Linked DNA regions of Macaca fascicularis. The protein of the gene in region 1 purifies or fractionates together with the protein of each later gene. This does not show direct contact. Links are inferred from orthologs where the notes say so. Each region holds a gene or a part of one and is shown in the gene's direction. Other genes may lie near its edges. The genes, in order: DCAF4L1, CUL4A and CUL4B.

Region 1 (4,315 bases):
CTGAACAGAACACGAAAGATACCATTAATGAAACAAATTGACAGTTTGGACAAATCCATAATTTATTTACTTATTTTTCTTTCTTTTTGAGACAGGGTCTTATTCTGTCTCCTGGCTTCGCTGGAGTGCAGTGGGGTGATCACTGCAGCCTCAACCTTCTGGGCTCAGGTGATTTTCCCTCCCGTCTCCTGAGTAGCTGGGTCTACAGGTGTGCACCATGCCCCGCTAATTTTTGTATAATTATTTATTTATTTTTTGAGACAGAGTCTCGCTCTGTTGCCCAGGCTGGAATGCAGTGGCACAATCTCGGCTCACTGCAAGCTCCGCCTCCCGGGTTCACGCCATTCTCCTGCCTCAGCCTCCCGAGTAGCTGGGACTACAGGCGCCCGCCACCAGTCCCCCCTAATTTTTTGTATTTTTAGTGGAGACGGGATTTCACCGTGTTAGCCAGGATGGTCTTGATCTCCTGACCTCGTGATCCACCTGCCTCGGCCTCCCAAAGTGCTGAGATTACAGGCGTGAGCCACTGCGCCCGGTCTAATTTTTGTACTTTTTCAGAGACAAAGTTTCACCACGCCGCCCCCTCTGGTCTCTAACTGTATTTTAAAAATACAGGCGGCCGGGCGCGGTGGCTCAGCCTGTAATCCCAGCACTTTAGGAGGCTGAGGCGGGCGGATCACGAGGTCAGGAGATTGAGACCATCCTACCTACATGGTGAAACCCCGTCTCTACTAAAAATACACACACATTAACCAGGCATGGTGGCGGGCACCTGTAGTCCCAGCCACTTGGGAGGCTGAGGCAGGAGAATGGCGTGAAACGCGAGAGGCGGAACTTGCAGTGAGCCGAGATCGCGCCACTGTACTCCAGCCTGGGTGACACAGCGAGACTCCATCTCAAAATAAAAAATAAAAAATTAAGAAATACAGGCAAGGCGCGGTGGGCTCATGCTTGTAATTCCAGCACTTTGGGAGGCTGAGGCGGACAGGCTGCTCGAGCTCGAGTTTCAGACCAGCATCAGCAACGCAGGGAGACCCCATCTTTACAAAAAAATTAGCCGGGCGTGGTGTCTCGAGCCCATAGTCCCAGCTAGGTAGGGCAGAAGTAGGAGAATCACTTGAGCCCAGGAGTTCCAGGCTGCAGTGAGTCGTGGTCGGGCCACTGGACTCCAGCCTGGGTGAAAGAGCAAGACCCTGTCTCAAAAAGAGAAAGGAAAAAATTTAACATCAAGAACTTTCGTCAAGACGCCACTGAGAGAATATGACAACCCACAGAGTAGGAAAAGAGACTTGTAATACACATCTGCAACAAAGGACTTGCTCCCAGAATACAGAGATAAAAATTAGCAACACTTCCGTTCGCGCCCGGACGGAACTTCCTGTCACGGAAAAGAACATCCTGAAGAATTTCCTGTCACGAGCAACAGTCCGCAGGAGGAAATGGAGGCGGAAAGGCTGCGACTCCTCGAGGAGGAGGCCAAGCAGAAAAAGGTAGCCAGAATGGGATTTAATGCATCTTCTATGCTCCGAAAAAGCCAGCTAGGTTTCCTCAACGTCACCAGTTACTCCCGTTTAGCCAACGAGCTGCGTGTGAGCTGCATGGAGAGAAAAAAAGTCCAGATTCGGAGCTTGGATCCCTCCTCTTTGGCGACCGACCGATTTAACTTCATTCTGGCGAGTACCAACAGCGACCAGCTCTTCGTAGTGAACCAGGTCGAAGTCGAAGGCTCCAAGTACGGCATTATCAGCCTGCGAACTCTGAAGATCCCTTCATTCCACGTGTACGTGCTCAGAAACCTCTACGTCCCCAACCGGAAGGTGAAGTCCCTGTGCTGGGCCTCGCTGAACCAGTTGGACTCTCACATTCTGCTGTGCTTCGAGGGAATTACAGATGCTCCAAGCTGTGCGGTGCTGCTCCCAGCGTCGCGATTCTTAAGTGTTCACACAAGAGTAAACCAGCCTGGCATGCTCTGCAGTTTCCAGATCCCTGAGGCCTGGTCCTGTGCCTGGTCCCTCAACACCCGGGCATATCACTGCTTTAGTGCAGGCTTGTCTCAGCAGGTCCTGTTGACCAACGTGGCGACGGGACACCAGCAGTCGTTTGGTGCCAGCAGTGATGTCTTGGCCCAGCAATTTGCTAGTACGGCTCCTTTGCTGTTTAATGGCTGTCGCTCCGGGGAGATCTTTGCCATTGATCTGCGCTGTAGAAATCGAGGCAAGGGGTGGAGGGCCACTCGCCTGTTCCATGACTCTGCAGTGACCTCTGTGCAAATCCTCCAAGAAGAGCAATGCCTGATGGCGTCAGACATGACTGGAAAGATCAAGCTGTGGGATCTGAGGGCCACTAAATGTTTAAGGCAGTACGAAGGTCACGTGAATGAGTCCGCCTATCTGCCCCTGCATGTGCACGAGGAAGAGGGAATCGTGGTGGCAGTGGGCCAGGACTGCTACACGAGAATCTGGAGCCTCCATGATGCCCACCTGCTCAGAACCATCCCTTCCCCGTATTCTGCCTCCGAGGACGACATTCCCAGCGTGGCCTTCGCTTCTCGGCTCGGGGGCATCCGGGGAGCAGCACCAGGGCTGCTCATGGCTGTCCGGCAGGACCTTTATTGTTTCCCCTTCAGCTAATTCCGCAGGTTGCAGCGCGGCCGAATGTGGATTTGACTTAAGGAAGTTAAGAGTATCTTACTACCGTTTCTGTGAGAGCAGTTTAAGAGACGTGATATATATAGATCCCATCTATCCGGCTGCCAGGGGTAAGGTGTTAAGAGTTTTATGTGGAGACTTTTCCGTAAAGTTATTTCAGTTAAACTGGACTTAACTTGAAAGTCCTTTTCATAAAAGATACCTATTTCCTCTTGTTGAATGCCTTAGAACAGTTAACCATCTCCCCCACCCTTTTTTTTTGTAAGACTTTTCTAAGGACTGAAGATTGGCAAAAACTAAAATAAATTAAAGCAGCTTCTTTCACTAGTAGCCCTTTAGAGAAGCATAATGATGGTACTAGTAAGACTGACTAGTCACAAAGGGTCCCAGGCATCTGTGCTTGAGGAAGCCAGTGGGAGTGGAGACAAGGGAGAGGTAATTTCTCGGAGTCTCTACAGAAATATTTAAGGCTGCAGTTTGGAATCATTAAATTTCTCAAACTCAATAGCAGATCCCTTAAGATTCTCCTTTTATTATTATCCATAGGCATTGGAAGGAAAGAGGGATCTTCTTAAATACGAGAAGTTTTAAACAGTCTTTAATGTGCTTTTGTTGAAGTACCTTTCAGAATGTAAGGTGCAGCAGCTCCGGTTTCTATTATGGTGACTTGAAGTTCAGATTCAAGGAATTGGCTTTGACTTTTTGTAATCTAGGAGCAGCAGTTTGTGAGAGGTTTATTAAAAATGTTAAAGAGCCTGTTTTTCTACCAAGCAAGGAAGAAAAAAAAAATGTAATAATGTTAGTTGCTACTTCTTAATAGCCGAAGCCTGGAAATTATCTGAATTTCCAAAATGCTAAAACTCGTGCTATAATCATACAATTGGATACTGCATAATAATAGAAAATAAAGCACACTTGCTATGTGAAACAGTATGGACCAATCTCAACATGGTGATTGAAATTAGGTAGAAATGAGTACAAACTGTATGGTTCAATTCTGAAGTTCAAAAGCAGTAAAAACTTGTCTATGGTGATTAACGGTAGAATAGTAGATACCTCTGTAGAAAGAAAGGATTTTTTTTTTTTCTTTTTCTTTTTAGGATGCTTGAGAAGTGACATGGGGAAGCTTTAGGAATGCTGAGTTTTCTTTATCTTGACACTTGATAAATACATAATTCATATAGCTATATGCTTCACATTTTTATAGTTTACTGTATATATGTTATTCTTAAATAAAAATAAGAAAGCAATTAGGACACTATTGTAGTTAGTCAGGCAAGGGACAGTGATGCCTTGGACCTGCATGTGAGAAGTAGAAATGATCAGAAATGATTGCATTGGAAGATCATTCGAAGGTAGTATTATTGGTAAGACTTGCTGATGAGAGTAAACTAGAAAGTGAAAGAATAAAGGATGGCAGCAATTTTTTTTTTTTGGAGACGGAGTCTCGCTCTGTCGCCCAGGCTGGAGTGCAGTGGTGCGATCTCGGCTCACTGCAAGCTCTGAGGATGACAGTTTTTTTTGTTAACTTTAGAACTGGTAGATGATGGTGTCGTTTACTAACCTAGGGAGGATAAGGAGAAAAAAACTTTAGGTGAAGGGAATGATGCTGAGTTTTAGACATCTACTAAACCTCCAATTGGAGATACAAAGTATTCTGTAGATCT
Region 2 (3,649 bases), on another chromosome or scaffold:
GCTGCTGCCACCACCAGCACCACTCCTGCCCTGAGGTGCCAGTTCAGGATTTCTGGCTGGAGCCCAGCATCTGTATTTTTGGCCCCTCCTTAATGGAGTACTTGGCCATTGGGGGCAGCAGGAGTGTTGAAGCAAAGCACGGAACCCCCAACATGGGTTTTGTGGACAGTCACTGGCAGCTGAAACATCTTCGTAACATTCCTCAGGCCGTGAGCTGAGGACTGCGATGAACTCTGAAAGCCGTGTGTCACCTTCTCTTCTTGGGAAAGCAGCAAACATTTGGTAGGAGAGCTCCCAGGGCTTGGAGAAGGGAAGCTGCTGGGATGTGCTCCGCAGAGGATATTGGGAAGAGAGTGTACCCTGAGGGCTGTTGCAGATGGTGGCAGGCAGGGCAGGTGGGGCAGGCAGGGTCGTGGTACCCGACTGAGCATCTCCAGTCACTCACCAGGAAGGTGGCAAGAACCCCGGGCTTCTGCCAGCAGATTATGTGATACCAATTTTGTTGTCAGTGGCATGCTTGGCCTAGCAATATCTCCAGGGACATGGAGCAGACAAGGCACACTAGACTGGCCGAAAAACAGAAGTTTTTAAAAAGAAATTGTTGGCACCTAGATGTAGAGAATTAGCTACTTCACATTTTTTGGATGATATTGAGTAGCATAGCTGGAGATAACACCCATAACTTCTAAAAAGCGAAACTAAAATGTATTGTTTCTTACTGTCTGTACAGGGATATGGGATTAGAACTGTTTAGAACCCATATTATTAGTGATAAAATGGTTCAAAGTAAAACTATTGATGGAATCCTGCTGCTGATCGAGCACGAGAGGAGCGGCGAGGCCGTGGACCGGAGCCTGCTGCGGAGCCTGCTGGGCATGCTGTCCGACCTGCAGGTGAGTGCTGCCTGTGCAGAAGATACCCGGGTACCTGCCCAGCTACTTGCACCAGAATAAATGGTTGTACCAAAGATGTTAAACAATGAAATCATAAAAGTGTTTGTTGAAGATAGAAGAGTCTTTAAAATCCCTAGGAGGGGAATGGCTCTCAAGCCAACACCACACCAGGTGCCACAAAAGGGAAGATGGATCAATATCACTATGTAAAATGCGCCTTTTTCATGGAAAATATACCACAAACAGACAAAACCAGATGACATACTCGGGGAGAATGTTAGCAACACACACAAAAGACAAAGGGTGAAGTTCTTTAGTGCAATGTGACCCCAAGGCACCGTAGGAAAAGAACAGAAGAGGGTCTGCCTGGCCGTTTTGGGAAGGACAGTGCAGCTGGCCGGCTGGGTGGCCACAGGCAGCTCCAAGTTCAGGTCATGGCAGCCTGCCCCGTCAGAAACTGGGATTTGTTAGCCCTTGAAAAGGTAGTTTCCTTTACTGAAATTGGTCAATAACTCTGCTCATTTCTTAGGTGTATAAAGATTCATTTGAACTGAAATTTTTGGAAGAGACTAACTGCTTATATGCTGCCGAAGGCCAAAGGTTAATGCAGGAAAGAGAGGTGAGATGATCGGATGCTTCCGAATCCCCTGGCTTCGTTTCTGCAGATGAGCATCTGGGAGGACTTTCCTCGTGTTTGCCTTTTCACACACACACAGATGTTTCATTGAAAATCTTCTGAAAGCTGCAGTCTTGCCAGAATCCCCAGTAATGAACTTCATTCTTAGTATACTAAGAATTTAGTTTATGTTAACTTAGAAACTATTGCCCTCCCCCCACAAGTAAAAATCTGTCAGATCGTTTCTGAAATAAGTAAAATAACTCAAATTTAAGCAAAATGATAAAAACATACACCTTAAAAATGAAAAATAAATACAAATGATAAAATTTTTTATTTGTGTGAAGCACTGCAAAAAATTTTCCCAAAAAAAGCCATGTGAAAAAACATATAGTAGTAATAGGAACCCAAAAAAACTTAACCACTTTTCCAGATACCAGAGCAAAATCATAAAGGAACCTGCCCCATAGACTGTCACCCAAATGGCACGTGCTGCTGCCCAGAATTGACCCTGGCCATTGGTTCCTTCATTCTGGCTTTGGAGAGGAAGTTTCATGTCAGATACTGAGCCCGGCTGCAGCTACCCCGGCAGAGCCTCAGGCCTTTCCTGCACTGTCTTGGGAAACATAGGTGTACTTTGAGGTCTCCTGCCACCATGTTGTTTGGTGTCCCCAGATGAACAGCCAGCTTGTTGACTTGCTTTTGCTGACCCATCTGTGCGGGGCAGGGTTGCCATTTAGCACCTCACCCTCCTACCAAGTGCTGCTCAGCTCCCTGTGGGCCCTGGGGATGGGAGAGGGTGTGCACAGACCCCAAAACTTAGTGGTGAGCAGGGACGAAAGAGAAGTGCAGCCTGGGCCCTGTTCTAGGATGGATGTTAATCTCGATCCTTTCTCCATGTCCCCCCAACACACTTGCATCCTACCTCTCCCTCCCTGTTAATCTGTGTTAATATTTGGCTTGAATACATATTCTGCTTTTCTTAAAAATTGCATATAAGGAAAATAAAATTTCAATCTCTTGGATAATGTTGACAGTCTTTTTGTTACTGATACGTTTGTTTTGTTTGGAAGGTTCCAGAATATCTTAACCATGTAAGTAAACGTTTAGAGGAAGAAGGAGACAGAGTGATCACTTACTTGGACCACGGCACACAGTAAGTACCGATCGCTCACCGAGCGTTCATGTCCTCACCACGGCTGGAGGGTTCTCCTGGCTGGTTATTGAAGTAAAGGGTGTCTCTGTCATTTCATTCAGCACTAAGAGTATTTTTGCACCTAGCATATTTTACTTTGTCATTTGTCCTTATTTGGCATTTACAAATTACAGTTTTTATCTAGTGCCTTGTCATAAGTTATTGTCTAAAGGGAGTAAATCTTGCTGAGATACTTGGCATCTTTGAGTTTTGAGATGGGCTATTTATGTTAACGGAGTATCACTGAATATTAGGCTATTTTGATTGTGCACTCATTTTATATCGCTTTAATTTTATTTATGGTGCTGTCACACAATTTTCTCTTTTCTTCTAATGTTTTTTTCCTGCAAACCTGAGGTTGATGAGTAGCTAGGGAAACAAAAAGGTTGAGATTATGTGAGTGTGCGTGTCAGGCACAGAATGTCCGTGTGATGGGAGGCAAGAACAGGGGCAGAGGGGACAGCAAGGGAGAGAAGTGAAAATGATACAGTGTGCAGCCGGGTGTGGTGGCTCACACCTGTAATCCCAGCACTTTGGGAGGCTGAGGTGGGTGGATCACGAGGTCAGGAGATCGAGATCATCCTGGCTAACCCAGTGAAACCCCATCTCTAGTAAAAATACAAAAAATTAGCCGGGCATGGTGGCGGGGGCCTGTAGTCCCAGCTACACGGGAGGCTGAGGCAGGAGAATGGCGTGAATCCGGGAGGCGGAGCTTGCAGTGAGCCAAGATCGCGCCACTGCACTCCAGCCTGGGTAGCAGAGGGAGACTCCATCTCAAAAAAAAGAAAAAGAAAATGATACAGTGTGCAGAACTGGGCCCCAGTAGGGAATGATAAAATGTACAGATGTGCAGAACAGGACTTGGTAGGACTCAGCAGAGAAAACAGGAAGGGAGATGAAAATGATACAATGTGCAGAACTGGACTCAGCAAGGTAAGGAAAGGG
Region 3 (3,649 bases), on another chromosome or scaffold:
TGCTGCTTCAAAGCCCTGGAGCCCTAATTAGCATGGGAACATGTGGTAAGAAGTAAAGCAAACCTCTTCAGAAGTGGTATTGTCAATTAATTTAGGTTATATGTGTTTTTTATTTTAGGGACATGGGACTGGAGTTATTTAGGGCTCATATTATAAGTGATCAGAAAGTCCAGAATAAGACAATTGATGGCATTCTTCTCTTGATTGAGAGGGAAAGGAATGGTGAAGCAATTGATAGAAGTTTACTTCGAAGCCTTTTAAGCATGCTGTCTGATTTGCAAGTAAGTTAACTACTACACATACTATACAGAGCTGATTGCTTTTCCTAGTTTTTTTTTCCCGATGTCAGACAGGTGATGTGCTGATGTCATAACAATGTCTGAAGGAAGCACATCTCATACATGAGCATAAAAACCCAATCATCATGCTTCTAAACTACAAAAGGATCCTAGCTTGATGTTTAAAAACCAAATTCATAATGCTGTTTACATAGACATAGAGAATATTTAGTAAATATTTACTAAATAAATGATCTCCTTCATTTTGTTGCCCCTCCCAGATTTATCAAGATTCTTTTGAACAACGATTTTTGGAAGAAACTAACCGGCTCTATGCAGCTGAAGGCCAAAAATTAATGCAAGAAAGAGAGGTATTTAAAAATCATGACTAATACATTCTCACTGTCTCTCACAATAGACCTTACTTTGTAGAATATAAGCTTCCCTTTGCATTTATCTTCCCAACATTGTGATGCTCTTCTCTCACTTAGGTGCTCCTTTCTTTTCTCTCTTCTTAAAGGCCAGAATTCTGGATCATAAACTCTACCTATAATTTTTACATATGATTCTACCCTGTCACATTTGACAGGGCCGCTTCCAGGATCTTTTGGACTTGACATTTTCTGAGTGATTTATGGGGAGGAAAACAATAATATAAAAAACTATCTTTGTAGGTTCCTGAATATCTACATCATGTTAACAAACGTCTTGAAGAAGAAGCAGACAGACTTATTACTTACTTAGATCAGACCACCCAGTAAGTATTACATGCTGAATTTAATAGTCTTAAACTGTCGTTAAATCACTTGCAGCACTTTAGCCATCCTAAACATGTTAGTAACTGTTTTCAGGTGTGATTTGAAGTGTTAACAGTTGTTTTCATAATATAAACTTGAAGTTATTCTTTTCCCTAATTAATTAGTTTTCATCCAAGGATTCGATTAGGAGTGGGTGGGTGTGTGTGTGTGTGTGTGTGTGTGTGTGTGTGTTTAGAATGTAATTTAGAAATAATATTAGAGGCTGATGTGATCTTTAAACTCTTCAGGCCAATTAAAATTCAGTGGATCCCCCCATTTTTGTGCTTTCCTAAGTGTTAATATTGTCAGTCAGGGGGCTTCTGTATGTAGTATTTCTTTACCTTCCTAATAAAAGTAGCAAAACTTGGAAAAAACCAACTACAACAAGGTCTTGGAGATATTTATTTCATGATGTAAACCAAATTCTAAAATATGCAGTGGTTTTTAAAAATTTTTGCCTGTCTATTCCTTTATGTTTTTTTCTTTTAGGTGTAAAGTATAGTAACTCTGAGCACCAATAAATTTATACATAGGATAGGAATCTTGAAATTAACATAAAATGAGCTATTTGATTCCCCCCCCCCCCCTTCAGGAGAGGCTTTACATTTTCTGGAAGTCAAACATCAATAATGCTAACTTTTTTTCCTCGTAGGAAGTCATTAATTGCTACTGTAGAAAAACAACTTCTAGGTGAACACTTAACAGCAATTCTTCAGAAAGGTAATTGGCAATTTGTAAATAAGAGATTGCTTTTTAAATGGTAGTGGCAAACTAGTAGGGAATTTTTAAAGATGTTGCCCTTTTAAAAGTTTGACAGCATGTGGCTGCATTTCTGAGGATGGACACAATCCTTATTAATCACAGTAAACTTCCTGAAGGTGCCAGTTTTCTTATCTGAAAATACAGGAACTAGAAGAGAGGGATCCACAAATACCAATAAAAAAACAGTGGTTGATATGTGCCTGTAGTATCAACTACTTGGGAGGCTGAGGCAGGAGGATTACTTCAGCCCAGGAGTTTGAGGTCAGCCTGGGCAACATAGTGAGACTCTCGTCTCTTTAAATAAAAGAAAAGAAAAAAAGTGGGAAATTCTTGACTTAATATGTTAGCTTTCAGTAAGGAAAGGTATTCCTTTTTACACTAAAGTGGTGAGGGTTTTTTGTTATTGTTAATGGCATGTCAAACCAAGCACTTCTAATCCAAAGTGAATTTGGAGTATACCCTGCATTTTACTTTGAGAATGCCACAAATAGGTAAAAACTTTACCTTTCTCTTCAACAATATTTTCTTTGGTATAAAAATTTATATATTTAGAAATTTAAGGCAGTTATACTGTTATTTCATCCTGAAAATCAAATATTTATTAGAGCCTCATTTAAATTTGACTTAATTTATGCATGGCTTTTGATATATCACAGGCCATATCTAATATTCTGAAATATAACTATGTACATAATATGGCTACTACATATATGAGGTATTTATAATGTATATTTATGTAAACCAGTTTTTATAAGTTTGTTTTTGCCTCTATCATGCTGAATGGCACAAACCATTATGGAGTTAACCATTTTTCTTTTTCTTTTTAATTTTTTTAACTTTTTATATTAAAATAGACAGGTGGGGGGAGGTCTTACTATTGTGCCCAGGCTGGTCTTGACCTCCTGGGCTCAATCGATCCTCCTGCCTTGGCTTCCCAAAGTGCTGGGATTACAGGTATGAGCCACCGTGCCTGGCCTGTTTTTATTTTTATAGTGACTAAAGTCTCTATATTTAGTTTTTACCCAGAAAGATGATTGGGTTTAATTCAAAGGAAATCTTAGAACTCACATACAGACTAGTCATAGTTCAAACCAGTATCACAATAATGATTATAACTCAAATTTTATTAAAATGTCTGATAATCTTGTTCACTTTTTTGTTCACTATATTTTAATGCCAAAATGTTTTAAAATACAGGTTTAAATAACCTCCTTGATGAAAACCGAATTCAAGATTTGTCTCTTCTGTATCAGCTCTTCAGTAGAGTTCGAGGTGGAGTTCAGGTTCTTTTGCAGCAGTGGATCGAATATATCAAGGTATTAACGATTTACCTGTGATTTTTCCCTCTTACAGCTTATCTACACATCGAGAGTGCATATTGGCAAGCATTTCTTGTTCGATCCATTTTTTTTTTTTTTTTTTTTTTTGAGACAGAGTTTTGCTCTTGTCACCCAGGCTGGAGTGCAGTGGCGCAATCTCGGCTCACTGCAACCTCTGCCTTCCAGGTTCAAGCGATTCTCCTGCCTCAGTCTCCCAAGTAGCTAGGATTACAGGCATGCACCACCATGCCCGGCTAATTTTGTACTTTTAGTAGAGATGGGGTTTCAGCATGTTGGTCAAGCTGGTCTTGAACTCCTGAACTCAAATGGTCCACCCGCCTCAGCCTCCCAAAGTGCTGGGATTACAGGTGTGAGCCACCACACCTGGCCTTGATCCAATTATTTGAAGGGAATTTTAAATTTGTTTTAAAAAGTAATGGGAATTTTGAGGTCAACCTGAGAATGGTAGCTATGTGGCATATCAGCTGTAAAA

The links.
Region 2: the proteins of DCAF4L1 (region 1) and CUL4A purify together in Homo sapiens (affinity purification with mass spectrometry; 3 studies listed by BioGRID and IntAct, counting the BioPlex papers as one, with this or other methods). This does not show direct contact. The link is inferred for Macaca fascicularis from reciprocal best matches to the Homo sapiens genes DCAF4L1 and CUL4A.
Region 3: the proteins of DCAF4L1 (region 1) and CUL4B purify together in Homo sapiens (affinity purification with mass spectrometry; 3 studies listed by BioGRID and IntAct, counting the BioPlex papers as one, with this or other methods). This does not show direct contact. The link is inferred for Macaca fascicularis from reciprocal best matches to the Homo sapiens genes DCAF4L1 and CUL4B.

The regions. Positions count from the first base shown.
Region 1 is NC_088379.1:41,327,365-41,331,679, forward strand, and holds the start of DCAF4L1 (DDB1- and CUL4-associated factor 4-like protein 1), read left to right. Parts: upstream 1-1,421; 5' UTR 1,422-1,439; coding exon 1,440-2,630; 3' UTR 2,631-4,315.
Region 2 is NC_088391.1:103,648,748-103,652,396, forward strand, and holds part of CUL4A (cullin-4A), read left to right. Parts: intron 1-730; coding exon 731-893; intron 894-1,422; coding exon 1,423-1,512; intron 1,513-2,580; exon of another isoform or gene 2,581-2,582; coding exon 2,583-2,665; intron 2,666-3,649. UniProt on the Homo sapiens protein: Core component of multiple cullin-RING-based E3 ubiquitin-protein ligase complexes which mediate the ubiquitination of target proteins. As a scaffold protein may contribute to catalysis through positioning of the substrate and the ubiquitin-conjugating enzyme.
Region 3 is NC_088395.1:126,817,934-126,821,582, reverse strand, and holds part of CUL4B (cullin-4B), read left to right. Parts: intron 1-118; coding exon 119-281; intron 282-343; exon of another isoform or gene 344-447; intron 448-559; coding exon 560-649; intron 650-952; coding exon 953-1,035; intron 1,036-1,727; coding exon 1,728-1,795; intron 1,796-3,034; coding exon 3,035-3,153; intron 3,154-3,649.